Linked DNA regions of Daphnia pulex. The protein of the gene in region 2 purifies or fractionates together with the protein of the main gene of each other region. This does not show direct contact. Links are inferred from orthologs where the notes say so. Each region holds a gene or a part of one and is shown on either strand. Other genes may lie near its edges. The genes, in order: WD repeat-containing protein 6-like and putative tRNA (cytidine(32)/guanosine(34)-2'-O)-methyltransferase.

Evidence for each region.
Region 1: the proteins of putative tRNA (cytidine(32)/guanosine(34)-2'-O)-methyltransferase (region 2) and WD repeat-containing protein 6-like purify together in Homo sapiens (affinity purification with mass spectrometry; 3 studies listed by BioGRID and IntAct, with this or other methods). This does not show direct contact. The link is inferred for Daphnia pulex from reciprocal best matches to the Homo sapiens genes FTSJ1 and WDR6.

Annotation. Positions count from the first base shown.
Region 1 is NC_060026.1:12,996,747-13,003,742, forward strand, and holds the start of WD repeat-containing protein 6-like, read left to right. Parts: upstream 1-1,853; 5' UTR 1,854-1,974; intron 1,975-2,008; exon of another isoform or gene 2,009-2,047; 5' UTR 2,048-2,079; coding exon 2,080-2,155; intron 2,156-2,214; coding exon 2,215-2,398; intron 2,399-2,452; coding exon 2,453-2,620; intron 2,621-2,679; coding exon 2,680-2,818; intron 2,819-2,893; coding exon 2,894-3,259; intron 3,260-3,324; coding exon 3,325-3,912; intron 3,913-4,006; coding exon 4,007-4,243; intron 4,244-4,342; coding exon 4,343-5,019; intron 5,020-5,130; coding exon 5,131-5,519; intron 5,520-5,595; coding exon 5,596-5,840; 3' UTR 5,841-5,875; intron 5,876-5,950; exon of another isoform or gene 5,951-6,996. Other genes in the region: repetitive proline-rich cell wall protein 1-like, read right to left, coding at 1-939, 1,033-1,053. UniProt on the Homo sapiens protein: Together with methyltransferase FTSJ1, methylates the 2'-O-ribose of nucleotides at position 34 of the tRNA anticodon loop of substrate tRNAs. Required for the correct positioning of the substrate tRNA for methylation.
Region 2 is NC_060025.1:8,046,951-8,053,517, forward strand, and holds putative tRNA (cytidine(32)/guanosine(34)-2'-O)-methyltransferase, read right to left. Parts: upstream 3,724-6,567; 5' UTR 3,707-3,723; coding exon 3,484-3,706; intron 3,427-3,483; coding exon 3,178-3,426; intron 3,117-3,177; coding exon 2,907-3,116; intron 2,845-2,906; coding exon 2,643-2,844; intron 2,558-2,642; coding exon 2,431-2,557; 3' UTR 2,255-2,430; downstream 1-2,254. Other genes in the region: serine/threonine-protein kinase PLK1-like, read right to left, coding at 1-145, 211-398, 469-624, 686-781, 848-1,065, 1,132-1,356, 1,431-1,532. UniProt on the Homo sapiens protein: Methylates the 2'-O-ribose of nucleotides at positions 32 and 34 of the tRNA anticodon loop of substrate tRNAs. Requisite for faithful cytoplasmic translation.

The DNA.
Region 1 (6,996 bases), on a different chromosome or scaffold from region 2:
ATAAGGAGCTTCTTCGTAGGCTGGAGGTGAATAATCCTGTGGTTTGTAGGCAGGAGCTTCGGAATAAGCAGGAGCTTCGTAGTTTGGTGACTGCGGTGGTGGATAAGGAGCCTCAGTGCTGTGAGCTGGTGGGCTGTATTCCTCTGGTTGTTGGTAAGCAGGGGCCTCTGGGTAAGCTGGTGGAGAGTAAGCAGGAGCCTCTGGATAAGCTGGTGGAGAGTAAGCAGGAGCCTCTGGGTAAGCTGGTGGAGAGTACGCAGGAGCCTCTGGGTAAACGGAAGGCGTCGGAGCTTTGTAACTAGGGACGTACGGAGGAGAGTAAGGAGCTTCAGTGTAAACGGGAGCTGGAGGGCTGTAAGAAGGTGGGCTGTAAGATGGTGGGCTGTAAGAAGGTGGGCTATAAGCAGGGGGGCTATAAGCAGGGGGGCTATAAGCAGGGGGGCTGTATGCAGGAGGGCTATAAGCAGGGGGGCTATAAGCAGGGGGGCTATAAGCTGGAGGGCTGTATGCAGGAGGGCTATAAGCAGGAGGGCTGTATTCTGATGGACTGTAAGCCTGTTGATTGTAGGATGGCTCTGGTTGACTATGCGCTGGAGCTTTGTAGTTTGGCTTGGGTGCTCCGTATTGGGCTTTTGGTGGTCCGTATTGGGGCTTAGGGGCGCCGTATTGAGCTTTAGGAGCGCCGTATTGAGCTTTAGGAGCACCATACTGTGGTTTTGGCGCTCCGTAGCTTGGTTTTTTCTTATGTTTGTCAGATTTTAAAAACCCGAAAATTCTGCTCTCCTGTTCCTGTTGTCCGCTACTGCGCACATATGTCAAGTTCCTCAAACCAACATTCGACTTTTGTTCAACTTTTTTTCCAGTGGTCTCCGCCGCTAAATTGCCATCGAATCCGACAACTGCAAGCGCCAGCAGTGACAGCAGGATAGAGGCGAAGATCTGTACAGCGTAATCAAATTAAAATGATCAACTGAATGAATTAATTTCTGAAAATAATTTCCGCGATTGAAACTGAATGAAGCAAAAATTTACCTTTGATGCTCCGTGTCTCATGTTGATTAGGATGTAAGTTTTCTTAATAGTCAATGTTATACTTGATTTCTTTCACGAAGAAGCTACACTGAAGTGAAGCTCGAGAACTTGAGATGAGAACACTGATGCAAATTTGAGAAGAATGACTCCAATTTATATCAGTAGATAAACTCCGCCTTCCTTGAAACAAGCCGTCGCCCATCTTCACAAAACACAAACTCATCCTTTGTTATTTGAGTCGCGGGTGACGTGTTTCTGACTTTCCCTGGAGCGATCGTATATTGTGTGGTTTATATTACTGGTTTGAGCTACTAACCTGGTCTGGCTGTTGTCTTATTGCATTACCGCTGATGGCTTTGAATCAGCCAAAAAATGGCGGGGCCTAGACGGTGATTGATCGCCAAATTGGCAAAACAGTGACCGCAGGAAAGTGTGAAGAAATTCGGAAGATTCCACCAATCCAATTTACCAACAACAGCTCAATTCGGATGAAAATTCGTTCCACTGCAAAGCACAATCCCGAACTGAGAAAGTGGAATGTAGCGTATTCTGCGAGCATCAATTCCGTTGTCACGATTTCGGAAAAAACCCACACGGCACTCTCTTATTTATAACCAAAATAGAAATTCAACTACTAAGATATTATACTGGTAGCTTGATTCTCGTATTCAATTAATATCCGACAATACGGAAGTTGACGATTCGGCACACATGAGAAACACATTCCGTATAATACGATATACATGCTTATTAGTAATTGCTGTCTGAAATAGGTTATCGATAAACTCGACAGGTAAATCTCTGAAGGACTGAATTTTCCAGGTTCATTGACCTTCTTTCCCAAGACCATTGCGGTTACACTAATGAAGGAAGGAAGTAAAAACCGTTTGAAATTGCCGCGGAAGTAATTTGTTTATACAACATCACCACCTATGAATGAAGGTAGGAACCTGCTAGCAGACGAAAGGTATTTTTCACGTGCTCGCTACTATTTACATCCATCAGTTTTATTTAGCACGAATTTTTGGAGGGAAGTGAAGCAGAATCATGGTACTAAAGAAATTATATTTACAAACGCATGTTACTGCTTTGTGTACCGTTGAACCTCATTTTTTATTAGAAGGTGTGTATAAAATGAAGTAAAATTCCGTTCTATTTAACAGTGTTGTTTATGAACTGCAGGTTGCGGAGGCTTTATAAACCTTTATGACTTCGACTCTAACGAGCTTTTGGAAAGCCTCGACATATTTCGAGGTGCCAGAATTCATGGTATTCGATATTCACTGCATAATAAAACAGTGATTGTTTTCGGTGGAAAGCTGTTTGCACTGGTGTCATTCAACGATTCTAAAACTGCTCTACCGAGGTTAATTGCTACATAAAAATGTAAATTTAGCTGGTTGCTATAACATTTCATCAGATTGAAACTTTTACAGAAATCCAATGAAGCTGACTGGATAAGGGATGCTAAATTTGTAAATAATGGGGATTATCTTGTCAAATTAACTTCTCACAACAAAGTTATCATCGAAAAAACGTCTTCTGAAGCAGAAACTGTTGAAGTACAAGGAGATGAACAGTGCATATTGTAAGTAGTGATGAATGCTGTTTGTAGGTTCCTTATTATTAACTTTACGTTCTACTCAGATACTGTGGCAAAATTCTGGGCGAAGATCTTTCACAGTTGACCATTCTGGCAGGGACTGTATTTGGCAACATCCTTGTTTGGGCAGCCTCACCATCTCAACAGAATAAATGTCTCTTCCACAGATTAACTGGTCACAATGTAAATCTATAGCTCTAAATTTAGTTTACTGTAAAGTCGTGCTAATATTTTTATTGCTATTGCTGTCTCTTGCAGGGTGTCATCTTCTCTATAAATTATGACGAAGTTTCGCACACTATCATATCAACGTCAGACGATAGATCTGTTCGTTTTTGGAGTCTCCAATGCGAAGACGAAGTGCCAAACAAATTGAGCCTCTGGAGTTTATTTCAACGATCGAAAATTCATCCCCAAAACGAACTTTATGGTCATGAAGCCCGTGTTTGGAACAGTGTCATAATCCGTCAAAATCAGTGTGATTCGGGACTGGTAGCCAGTTTGGGTGAAGACTCCCGTATTTGTTTGTGGGATTTGACGAGCGGCAAATTGGTATCCAAGTTTGATGCTCACCCTGGAACCAGTGTATGGGCTGCCGTGTGGGATTCACGACTCCAATTATTGGTTCGTTATTTTGACAGGCAAATACGAGTTTCGCTTAATGTATTCATGAATTTGTTTATTCTCAGGTAACTGCTGGAGGAGAAGGTTCGACACGAATCTGGAACGCCAATCATTTACAGGAAACGAGCTGTCGTCAGCTCCAGCTCACCGAAGACGGCCAAGTTCCACGTTTAGTGATCGTTACATCCACGGGTTACTACCGCCACTTGGTGGCCAGTCAGCTGGGCATCATTTACGGATGGGATAGTCACGCCCAGATTTGGGTCTCCCTCTTTCAGGACGAGGGACTCGGCAACGGCAGCGTCTTGGATTCCGACGGTCGGACGATTATATTTGGAACGCGTACCGGAGCTGTGTTCGTGTTCGCTTCCGGCCCGTCGTCCTTGGAACTGCTGGCGACCCATCAGCTGGAAAAGACGAAAATTTATAGCCTGCATTTGGTCGCATCGCAGCAGCAAGAGTTTATGGCCTGTCTCGATAACGGTCGTCTGCTGCTTATGAATGTACTCGGCGGCAGCGAGTCACCACCCAGGGCCCAATTTATTCTCCCCGACGGCAAACAGCGATGGCCCAGCTGTGTTCTGGCCACCCAAAATCGATTCATGATGGGCGATCGTGAAGGGAGCTTTCATCTTTATTCGACCGAAAAAGAGGTTGGTTTTTCGGGGATTTTTACGACCTCCGACAAACAGTTACAAATCGAGAAATGATTTCTGATAATAATCAACATTTATTACTTTATTTTAGACTCCGCTTCAATCTTTTTCGCATATCCATGGCAAGAATGGCTTGACTGACATTCAGAGCGATCCGAACGGCCAACATCTTTATTACACCGGAGGAAGAGACGGTCGAATCGGTCTCTGGCGGTTAACCGACGACCAGAATCAACTGGAACTTTTGTCACTTACTAACACCAGTCTCGGTTGGATTGCCGGCTTGCGATGGATCGACCAGCAGTTAACATACCTGGCCTTTCAGAGCGTAAGTACCTACTTATCCATATGGAAATTTTGAAAAAAATCTATAATCAATTCAAATTTGATGCAATATTTTGTATTGTGTCTATCCAAATTTATTCAGGATCGGTTCGTTGTGTGGTCGAGTGAGCAACAGCGGAGTCTCATGCAAGTGCCTTGCGGGGGAGGCCACCGATCATGGGACTTTGACGTGACGTCGTCTGATGTCACTTTCCTGTTCATCAAGGACAGACACATTTACGAGAATCGACGTCCATTGAGCGCCGTTTTCAACTCGTCGCTGCCTGGACGCTGCGGAGGGCACAGCAAATCGATTTGCCGTGGCAGGTTCGTCGGATTCCACGACGACTCGCCGCTCGTCTTGACTGGAAGTGAAGACACGACGATGAGACTGTCGCGATTGGATCGGCGTTCCGCCCAATCGCTGACCGTCATAACCAAACACGTTTCCAGCGTCCGAGCCCTGGCCGTCAAGGAACTGGCATGTAGGTCTGCAGGGACGTGGCTGTGTGTTTCAGCCGGCGGCAGAGCCCAGTTATCGGTCGGATTACTGACACTATCTGGCCAGGGCGATCAAGTGCACGTCATTCACCGTGACGTGCGTTCGCATTTCTTGCGCGGTTGGCTCCGCCGGGCGGCCACCAATAAGCCCTGGATTCACGGCAGCGATCAGCTGTCGCTCATCCCCGACCCTGAAACCCGCTACATGGACGTCGATGTGGTAGACCGTGGCGACAGCAATTTCCATATTATCGCCGCCTGCTCCGATAGCTTTATAAGGTTTGTCTCGTACATTTGTTGCGTGCATTGAAATTTTTCACTTTTTTTGTTTGTTGTTCCAAATGTTTAAAACAAAAAATTCTACTGTCACATTTTCATTTTTTTTTCCAGGATTTTTTATCTATCCCTGGAGGGTGGCCGGTTAGACTTGTTTCACGAACTCAACTTCCACAATTGCTGCGTCTTGCTGGTCAAAGTGGTGGCCGATCCGGATGGCAATACCATCCTTTTCTCCGCCGGAACAGATGGCCGGCTGGCTGTGTGGGACGTAACAGTTGTGGAAGAAGATAAGGCCATGGATCCCTTGGACAGCCTGTCCATTCATCAATCGGGCATTAATAGTTTGGACTGCCAATGGATCGACCTTAATCGCATGCTGGTTCTGACTGGGGGCGACGATAACGCTCTGATCTGCACCAAAGTGGAAATCAGCTGCGAAAGGAATTTACTGCGATTAATCGATCAGCAAAAGCTGTTCCCCCACGCAGCCCAAATCTCCGGTAACTTATTGCCGATATTGTTTGTTTTTTTTTCACTTTGAATGTTGTTTGCTGATAACTTTTAAATTGGTTACAGGAGTAGCTCTGCTGGGTCACAACTTGTGTTTAAGCGTGTCACTGGACCAGCGTCTGATCCTCTGGAAGCGAGAGGACACTCGACTTATGTGGCAGTCGGCCGTTTGCTGCGACGTCTCCGACATTCAAGGGCTGCATGTGTCCGCGGGTGCCACTAAAACTTTGTCCAAAGTCCTGGTTTATGGTCAAGGTATTCAAGTCTTTGAAGTGGACGACGACTCGTTAAACATCGCCCACACGATTTAGACTATTCATCTGTCGACCCGTTCTAACCAACTAAGGTAAAAAAGAAAAAAAATACAACATATTATTTTCTTCTTTGCACGGCACCTTTTACATCACTCTTGTCTTGGTAGTTTTAGATTATTTTGTTGTGAAATTATTTTGACGACCAAATCGCGCTACCGTTGTGAGCCGGTGATTTCAGATTTCACCTGTTTGATGACGTCAGCTGACACGACGTGTCGAAACGCTGGAAAAGTGGACCGTTTGGGAAGGAGCGCCGCGTTTATTTCATTGCGTCATTGTGACAGGGAACTTTGGAGAGCAGCGGGGTGGAGGGGAGAATTGTGCACTGGGCGCGGAATGTGTTTCTCTTTATTTATTTATTTTTTTCCTCTTCTACTTTGGTCGTATTTTTTCTTTTGTTCAATTCCAAATATGGCGGAAATATTGAGAGGGGCGGGTCGCGATAACATCCATGACACGCCAGAGTGCTTGACAGGTTTTTTAGTGGCGCACTTGAGAGAAAGGCTAGTGCGCGATATAATATTCAATTCTATTTTATTCAGTCGACCATGGCGCACCCGATTTACATTTATTGAGCCTTTGGGGGTTGTGTACACATAGAGGCCCAAACTGTGTAAACACCAAACAAAAAAATTCATTAACATAATAATCCAATTAGATTTTGTGGCTTTTAAAACAAAATAGCATCTGGCATTCCTCTGGGGTGGGAAAGTGTGGGCGATTTATTTTTCGGGTTCCAGCCCGTGCTAAAGAGAACGAGGCTCACAAAATTCGAGATGATTCGATTTTTTTTCCGACGACCTCCACCACTTTGAATGAAAACTTAAATGCAGCGCGCAACAGGGCGACCTTACAAGGCAGCCTCCGTTTCCCATTTATGGCCATCTGTGACACACAGAGGGCTCGACCCTTGGGGGGCTTTGCTTTTTAAATATATTTTTCGTCATTGTGTTTGGTTGTAACCTGTTGTATATACCTTCATTTGGATTGATTTACATATAAAGGTCCCCAACGGTTCACATTTTCGCTTGAATTGCAGATTTGGCGGCAGGGAAATTCAATTTCTTTCAAATTTCCAAATCCGCGTTTCCACCCAATTTACCTTAAATGGACGCGCGGGAGAGAAGCGCGCTTTTATTTAAATGAATCGCGA
Region 2 (6,567 bases):
ACTTTCTCGTTGGGTTTCGAGGTGAAAAGTTTGAAAAGTTGTTGCTGCAAGTCGCGGAGCAGTTGCTGAGGCGATGGGCCTGATGGAACGGCCGGAAATGGTGTGTCGGCAGTGGCTGGTGAGTTAACTGGTTCGCCCTTGACGCCTGCAATAACACGTAGAAATGTAGCAAACCATTGCAAAGGAAAAAAAATGGTCGATTCATTATACCTTGTACTTCATTGGAAATAAGAGGGGAATCCCGGTTGATTTCGCCGAGAGGTCGACGGACGGCAATAAGACTGTTGTTGAGACGAGGATCAAATCGCGGTGGCATAGTCAAGCAAGACAAAGGCAGGCGCGAAGGCATGTAACCCTGAGTCATGAAGTCGTCGTTCAAACATTGATCCACGGTGGGTCTATTTAGAAAGAAAATCCCGGATTTAATAAACAAGACCACGAAAAAGTGCAAGTAGAAATTCAACTTACCGGCTGCTAGGATCTGCTTGAAGCATTTTGATGATAAGAGTACGAGCCAGAGGACCAATACGAGACGGAACATGAAACTCATTCTTTTTGATTTTGCTGTAGGTATCCTTGAGCGACTGTGTTTCAAAGGGAGGATGCCCAACCAATAAAGTGTATCTAGGGATTGCAAAGAAAGTAAATAAACATTCCAACACCATTTATTTAACATGAAACTTACAAAATGCAGCCCATAGACCAAATATCCACTTCATAACTGTGGCCTTTTTTGCACAAAACTTCGGGTGCAATGTAGTTGGGAGTGCCACACAGAGTCCTATCAACAGTAAAGTAGATAAAACATTTAGAAAAGCTTACAAACAGTGAGCACAAAATATCTTACTTTTTCCTTTCGCCATCAAAATCTAACTTTGTTGCAAGGCCAAAGTCTCCAATCTTGAGCTCCATGTCTTCATTGAGGAAAATATTACCCAGTTTCAAGTCTCTGTGTATTATCTTGTGTTCGTGGAGATGCTTAACACCAAGAAGAAGTTGGTGCATGAAGCACCGAGCTTCAGGTTCAGTGATCGCCTTTCTTCTTTTGTGCAACTCCATGAGACTCTTAAAAAAGTAACACAACATTGAAAAAACTAATTCGAAAAACAAATGAAATGGTATGGCACTTACCCTTCTTTTGCAAAGCTCCAAAACAATGAAGACAAAGTTACTGTCCTCAAAAAAACTGTAAAATCCAACAACGTGTTTATGGACCAGCGAGCGATGAATAGAAATCTCCTGGGCCATCTTATCCTTCTGGTGCTGCTTTTGCAGAAGATGCTTGGAAACTATTTTGCCAGCGAAGATCTGGTTGGTAGCGCTGTCTGTGAGCTCATAGCATTTGGCAAACCCACCCTAGTTATTCAATCAATTTGAAAGCCATTTGTTATTTCAATTGCTAAGTTACATTGCTTCAACTTTTCTCTTACCTTTCCAAGAAATTTGCCTCTCACGTAACGTTTTTTGGTGCCAGGATCAAGAAGAATATCAGGGATGATTTCAGGTTCAGGTACTGGCTTATTGGAATTCATTTTGAAATTCGTAATTAAAATCGACACCGATCAAATGAAATAAAATAGAATGGGGGTTAAAAATGCTCGTCTTTTCAATCAAGACAGTGTGTAAAATAATTCTCGAATAGATTGGCGGTTAAATTAAAAACTTTCGGACCAACGGTCACCACGAACGTCTTCTCTCGTTCAAGGGAGGCTTTTAACAGTTGCAGCAGGCAACATTCAAATTGTTGGAGGCTCGAGTTCTTCAAATACCTAACGGTTTGAAATGCAACATTGCCATATTTTTCAAAATGGTGATTTTGCTTATTTTGTAACGTTTTTGCGGTTTTTGTTAAATTTCTTTTTCAAATTTTTATTGTTTTTATTCTATTTTAGCAAATACTATTTTAAATTATAGAATTAAAAAAAAAATTTTACTACGGTACTACAAGATTTTTCGAAATACAAAATAAGATTACAGATCATGAGATCAGATGGAATGGAACTAGAAAATAGAAATGTTGTTTTTGTATGAAATAATTACACCAACCAGGCCAGCCAAATACATAAACCTAAAATAGCCTTAATCACTCCATCATTAGTTAGTTAAAATTTCAATTTTAGGTGAGCATCGGTACTGGTGCTTATATTTTTTATGTAAACCTTGTTTGAAAATTTAATAAAAAAAATTGTCAGTTGAGTTGACATAATTCATCTTAAGAACTGTTGTTTCAATGAAATAACGAGAAATTGCACGATTGCATAGACCAAGTCCTCCTTTGTTGTTTATTAAATGTTATATTTTCTGGTAGATGATTAATATTTGAATGATTAGTTAGAGGCATAATCATCTACTAGAAAATACAACAGCAATGAAAAATGTTGCAACAAACGATATTTCTTCAGCATTTGTCGTGACGAAGTAAACTACTATCTATTCCTTCAATTCAAGAGATTCCATTTTGGTAAGCTGATCCACTGCAGGCTTTGCTAATTGATCTTGTTTCCTTATGCAAACGGCTTCTTGGTACGGTGGATTTATCGGAGTTTGTGTTGGTGGTCTATAAATTAAAAAAAGAAATATGTTTTATGAATAAAGCCATACATTTTCATGTTTCGTCGTCATAACGACATCCGTTTTATTACCGGAATTTATATTCTGCGTCCAAAGGATAGCTCATGTCAGAGTCGTACGCACTGAGATCACCGCATGCCAAAAAGGGCACTATCACTCTGTTAGGACCTTCCCATTCATTCCAGTCACAATATTGGTGGTCCAACAGAGGATTTGACATATTTGGGATGTAGCCACTTGGAGGAGAATAATTCTGACAGACAACAAATGCCTCTGCAAAAAGGGAAAATAATAGTTATTACATTGTAAAATATATGCTCCCACCATATACATACCTATACTTGAATTCCTGGAACTCATTGGTTTTGCCACGGTGACTTTAGGGAAAAATATTCTAAGCTGTGAGTAAAGCAATGTAATATCTCGTCCCCTGAAGATTTTGGCAACAAAAATCCCACCATCCTTGAGAACATGAGTGGTGATGTTTAAGGCTGCTAAAAGCAGTTGGGCTTGGACATATTCATCAATGTCATGCAATCCAGTAACTGAAAATTGATAGCATTTAGTCAAATTAGCAAGTAAACCCATGAAGTCAGCTATAAATACCATCTGGTGCACCGTCACAGACAACCAAATCTGCCTTTTCCCCTTCAAAATAGGAAATAATTTTTTCTGCTGTAGATAACTGTGTGATGTCACCTTGAATTTGAATGACACCAGGTAAAGGTGCCATCGCTTGCAAATCTACAGCGACAATTTTAGCAGAAACATTTTCATCTTTGTTATGTAACTTTCTGGTTAACACTTGGCTCCAACTGCCTGGAGCTGCACAGAGGTCCACTGCATTTTTAACTCCTTAAAAAGAACAAGAATCAATATAAAATACCAAATATCCATACACTTTTAACATACCTTCGAATATACGAAATTCTTCATCAATTTGTAGTAGTTTGAAAGCCGAACGAGCCCTCCATCCTTCTTCTTTAGCCAATCTGTAATAAACGTCTCGTTTATCTTTTGAGGTTTTTCCCATTATTATATTGTTGACGATACGACGAAATTTTGATAACAAAGTCTCGATACAACACGTTTCCAGCAGACTTTTCAAGAAGACTGAGACACTGAGTGACAGCATGCAAGGATACAAAACAAATGGTGCAATGTTAGCAGACGACTCTAACGATTGGTTAACTATGACGTGTTGGTTAACGTTGTTAAATTAACTGAAGACGGAAATTTGTCTGAAAATTTGACTGTGTAGACACAAGACAGAGAATCTTTTTTAGCGTAACATGCGGAAGACAACGGCAGTGAAAATGACAGAAGACCAAGAAGAAAGTGATGGCGGAGGAGGCAGCAGCAGGGATGCTCTGATATAACAATTCCATCCGGATACAAAAAGAGTGGAGGACGACAGACGTGACAACTCCTAGGAATATTTGCGGACATATCCAACAATAAATGAATGGTCGTTAATTTTTTTAAATAGGATGGGAAGGAGAAAGTGTTTTTTAAAGTAAGAAAATGTCAAACTTGTACCGCAAGCGGTATAGTCTATGGTATAACGGACAATGTTGTCGTCATTGATGAGAGATTAATTTTCGACTTACTTTTTCGTGGCTTCCAACGATATGCTGATAAAATCGGCTACGCGGCAGCAGATGGTCGAGCCACGGGCCCCAACACGCCTTCTTCAATTCATGCCTATTGACGATTTTCTTCTTTTGTGTGTTTGTGTAGTTGGTTGGGTATAGACTCCTTCCTCTGGTTTCACTTTCATGACATTGGCCGATTGGCGATAACCCAAAAAATGCGAAACTCTCAGTGAAGATTTAAGTTGATTGAATCCATGATAGCATGAGAACACATCTTGTTGCAATCTTCGTCCGGATGGAACACATTCTTCAAGGTGAGATTCCGGAAATATCAATAATAATAGCGTCGGCACTATTCGATCTGTGGGGGACGATGATGTACGGCGCTCCAACAAGAATGAATTCCTTCGGCGTAGACCTTCTTCCTAGTTTTCTTTGCAGTCTGGGCGGCTGCCGACGATGCTTTGTAGAGTCTCTTTCGCCGCCTGAGAATAATTGGAAGGCCAAAAATCCCTAACAAAGCTTAAATATAGGCTGATATCGAATGGCAAATGAACTGAATATAAAGGCTGAGTAGACTAGTTCGACTAGTTACTAAAAATACAACCTTCACTAAGTCATTTCTGGCATGGATGATGTGAGCTGGAAACATCACCATAGAAAAAACTGGGGCCACAAAATGAGAAGCATTTTCGGATTCGCAGAGGCCATACTTTTTGATACTGCAGCTAGTGCAGCAATATTTCCCAATCTGAAAAATAAATGAAAATTTTGTTAGTTAAATCCCATTTCAAAAGTAAGAATAGAAGAAAAGAAAAGAGACCAAGAATTTTACCTAGTGTCTATGAGATCAATACGAATAGACGACAATTCCAGGAAATTTGTTATCTTGGAAGGAGAGGATCGTCAAATGGCATTTTTCGACGATTAACTCGATATCAGTTTTGTGTTTTTTACGAAGTAAAATATCAGTAAATTACCTGTACTTACTCGTGGGTTTAAATATTCATGATGGTGTGGTTCTGAATGGAGTATTCCACCAAGCCTAAAGCGGATGTCTTCTTCATGCTTTCCACATTTCGTCTACAGCGGTGAGTTGTGTAAGTTTAGACACATCTTGCATTTTCGTATTCGTAGTGTCGACAGGTTGGTTTCGTATTAGAGAAAGATTTCCTTACTGAAGAAACTTGGTTACAAAAATGAAAAAAAAAAAATTACAAAGTTAAAGTATTGCGTTGGTCAAACTAGGAATGCCATTGCTTTTGTAGGAGTCCAGTCAAGATCAGAAATCACGAACTTTGACAGTAACACTGAGAGATTTGGCAGCGGGCATTCTTCTTCTTCTAAAATTTTCATTACAAATAAAAACATGATAATTAATCTCCCATACCTGCAAATAAATTGATGCAACTCCTGTGTAAATAAAACATTTTTTTTGTGCATGGAAGGTTAGAAATAGCTTCACACAAAGTCCATGAAAATAGTTCAGCACTTAACAAAGCTATTCTATGCAATAGCAAAATGACGAAGAAGTTTACAATTACATAAACATAAACCTCTACATTTTTATTTTAAGCGTAAAACTTCTACAACAAATACACTAAATAAAATGGTTGACCGCGAATGAGAAGTTAACATATGTAAAGGGGTAACACAAAAATTTTACGTGTTTATCACTTGAAATCCGAAAGGGAAAAATGAAATTAAGTCGATTTAGCATGTAATGCACGCTTGTAAAAGTGCACGTTAATACTCCAGTCCTTGTTCCACGTCATTATGATAATAATTGGCAGATTTGTTAGTTTTGCTGGTGTTGTTGAGCAGTTTTGACATGTGCTGCGTAGCCAGCAGACACAATTCTGGGTAGTTTTTAATCAAATGTATCCATTCCGGCTGGGAGCAGATTTCAAGACTGTTGGCTGCCAAAAACTTCAAGGTTGCTTCCTTAAGCTTTGCTACTGAGTGGAAATGAGACCAAACCAGTAAACGGATGGCATTGTCGAGATTCACACGTTTCAGCAAAGCATCGGTGCATTCGGTTTTGAGGTTGTCGATGTTATATTTGTCCGCGGCCTCGAAGAGCAACTGCGTCATGTTTTCTTCGGCCAGTTTGGGGGCGCTGCCCGTGTACAGGTAGATGAGGAGCTGCCGGAACACTTCAATGTCAATGTCAGTGATGGTCACTTTTTTGGTTTTTGATTCCAGAAACTCAGATCGAAACATAGCAGAGAAAACTGGGCTGCCAGCCGATAGAATAACAACGTGAGCACCAACAGTCTGGCTGTCTTTAAAGTCGAAGTGCACGTCGCATAATTGTTGGTTGTAAAACATTTCGGCCAGCCCCTTCGACATAATGATCAGATTCTTTTCTATTATTGTACTGGTTCCAAGATCTATCCAA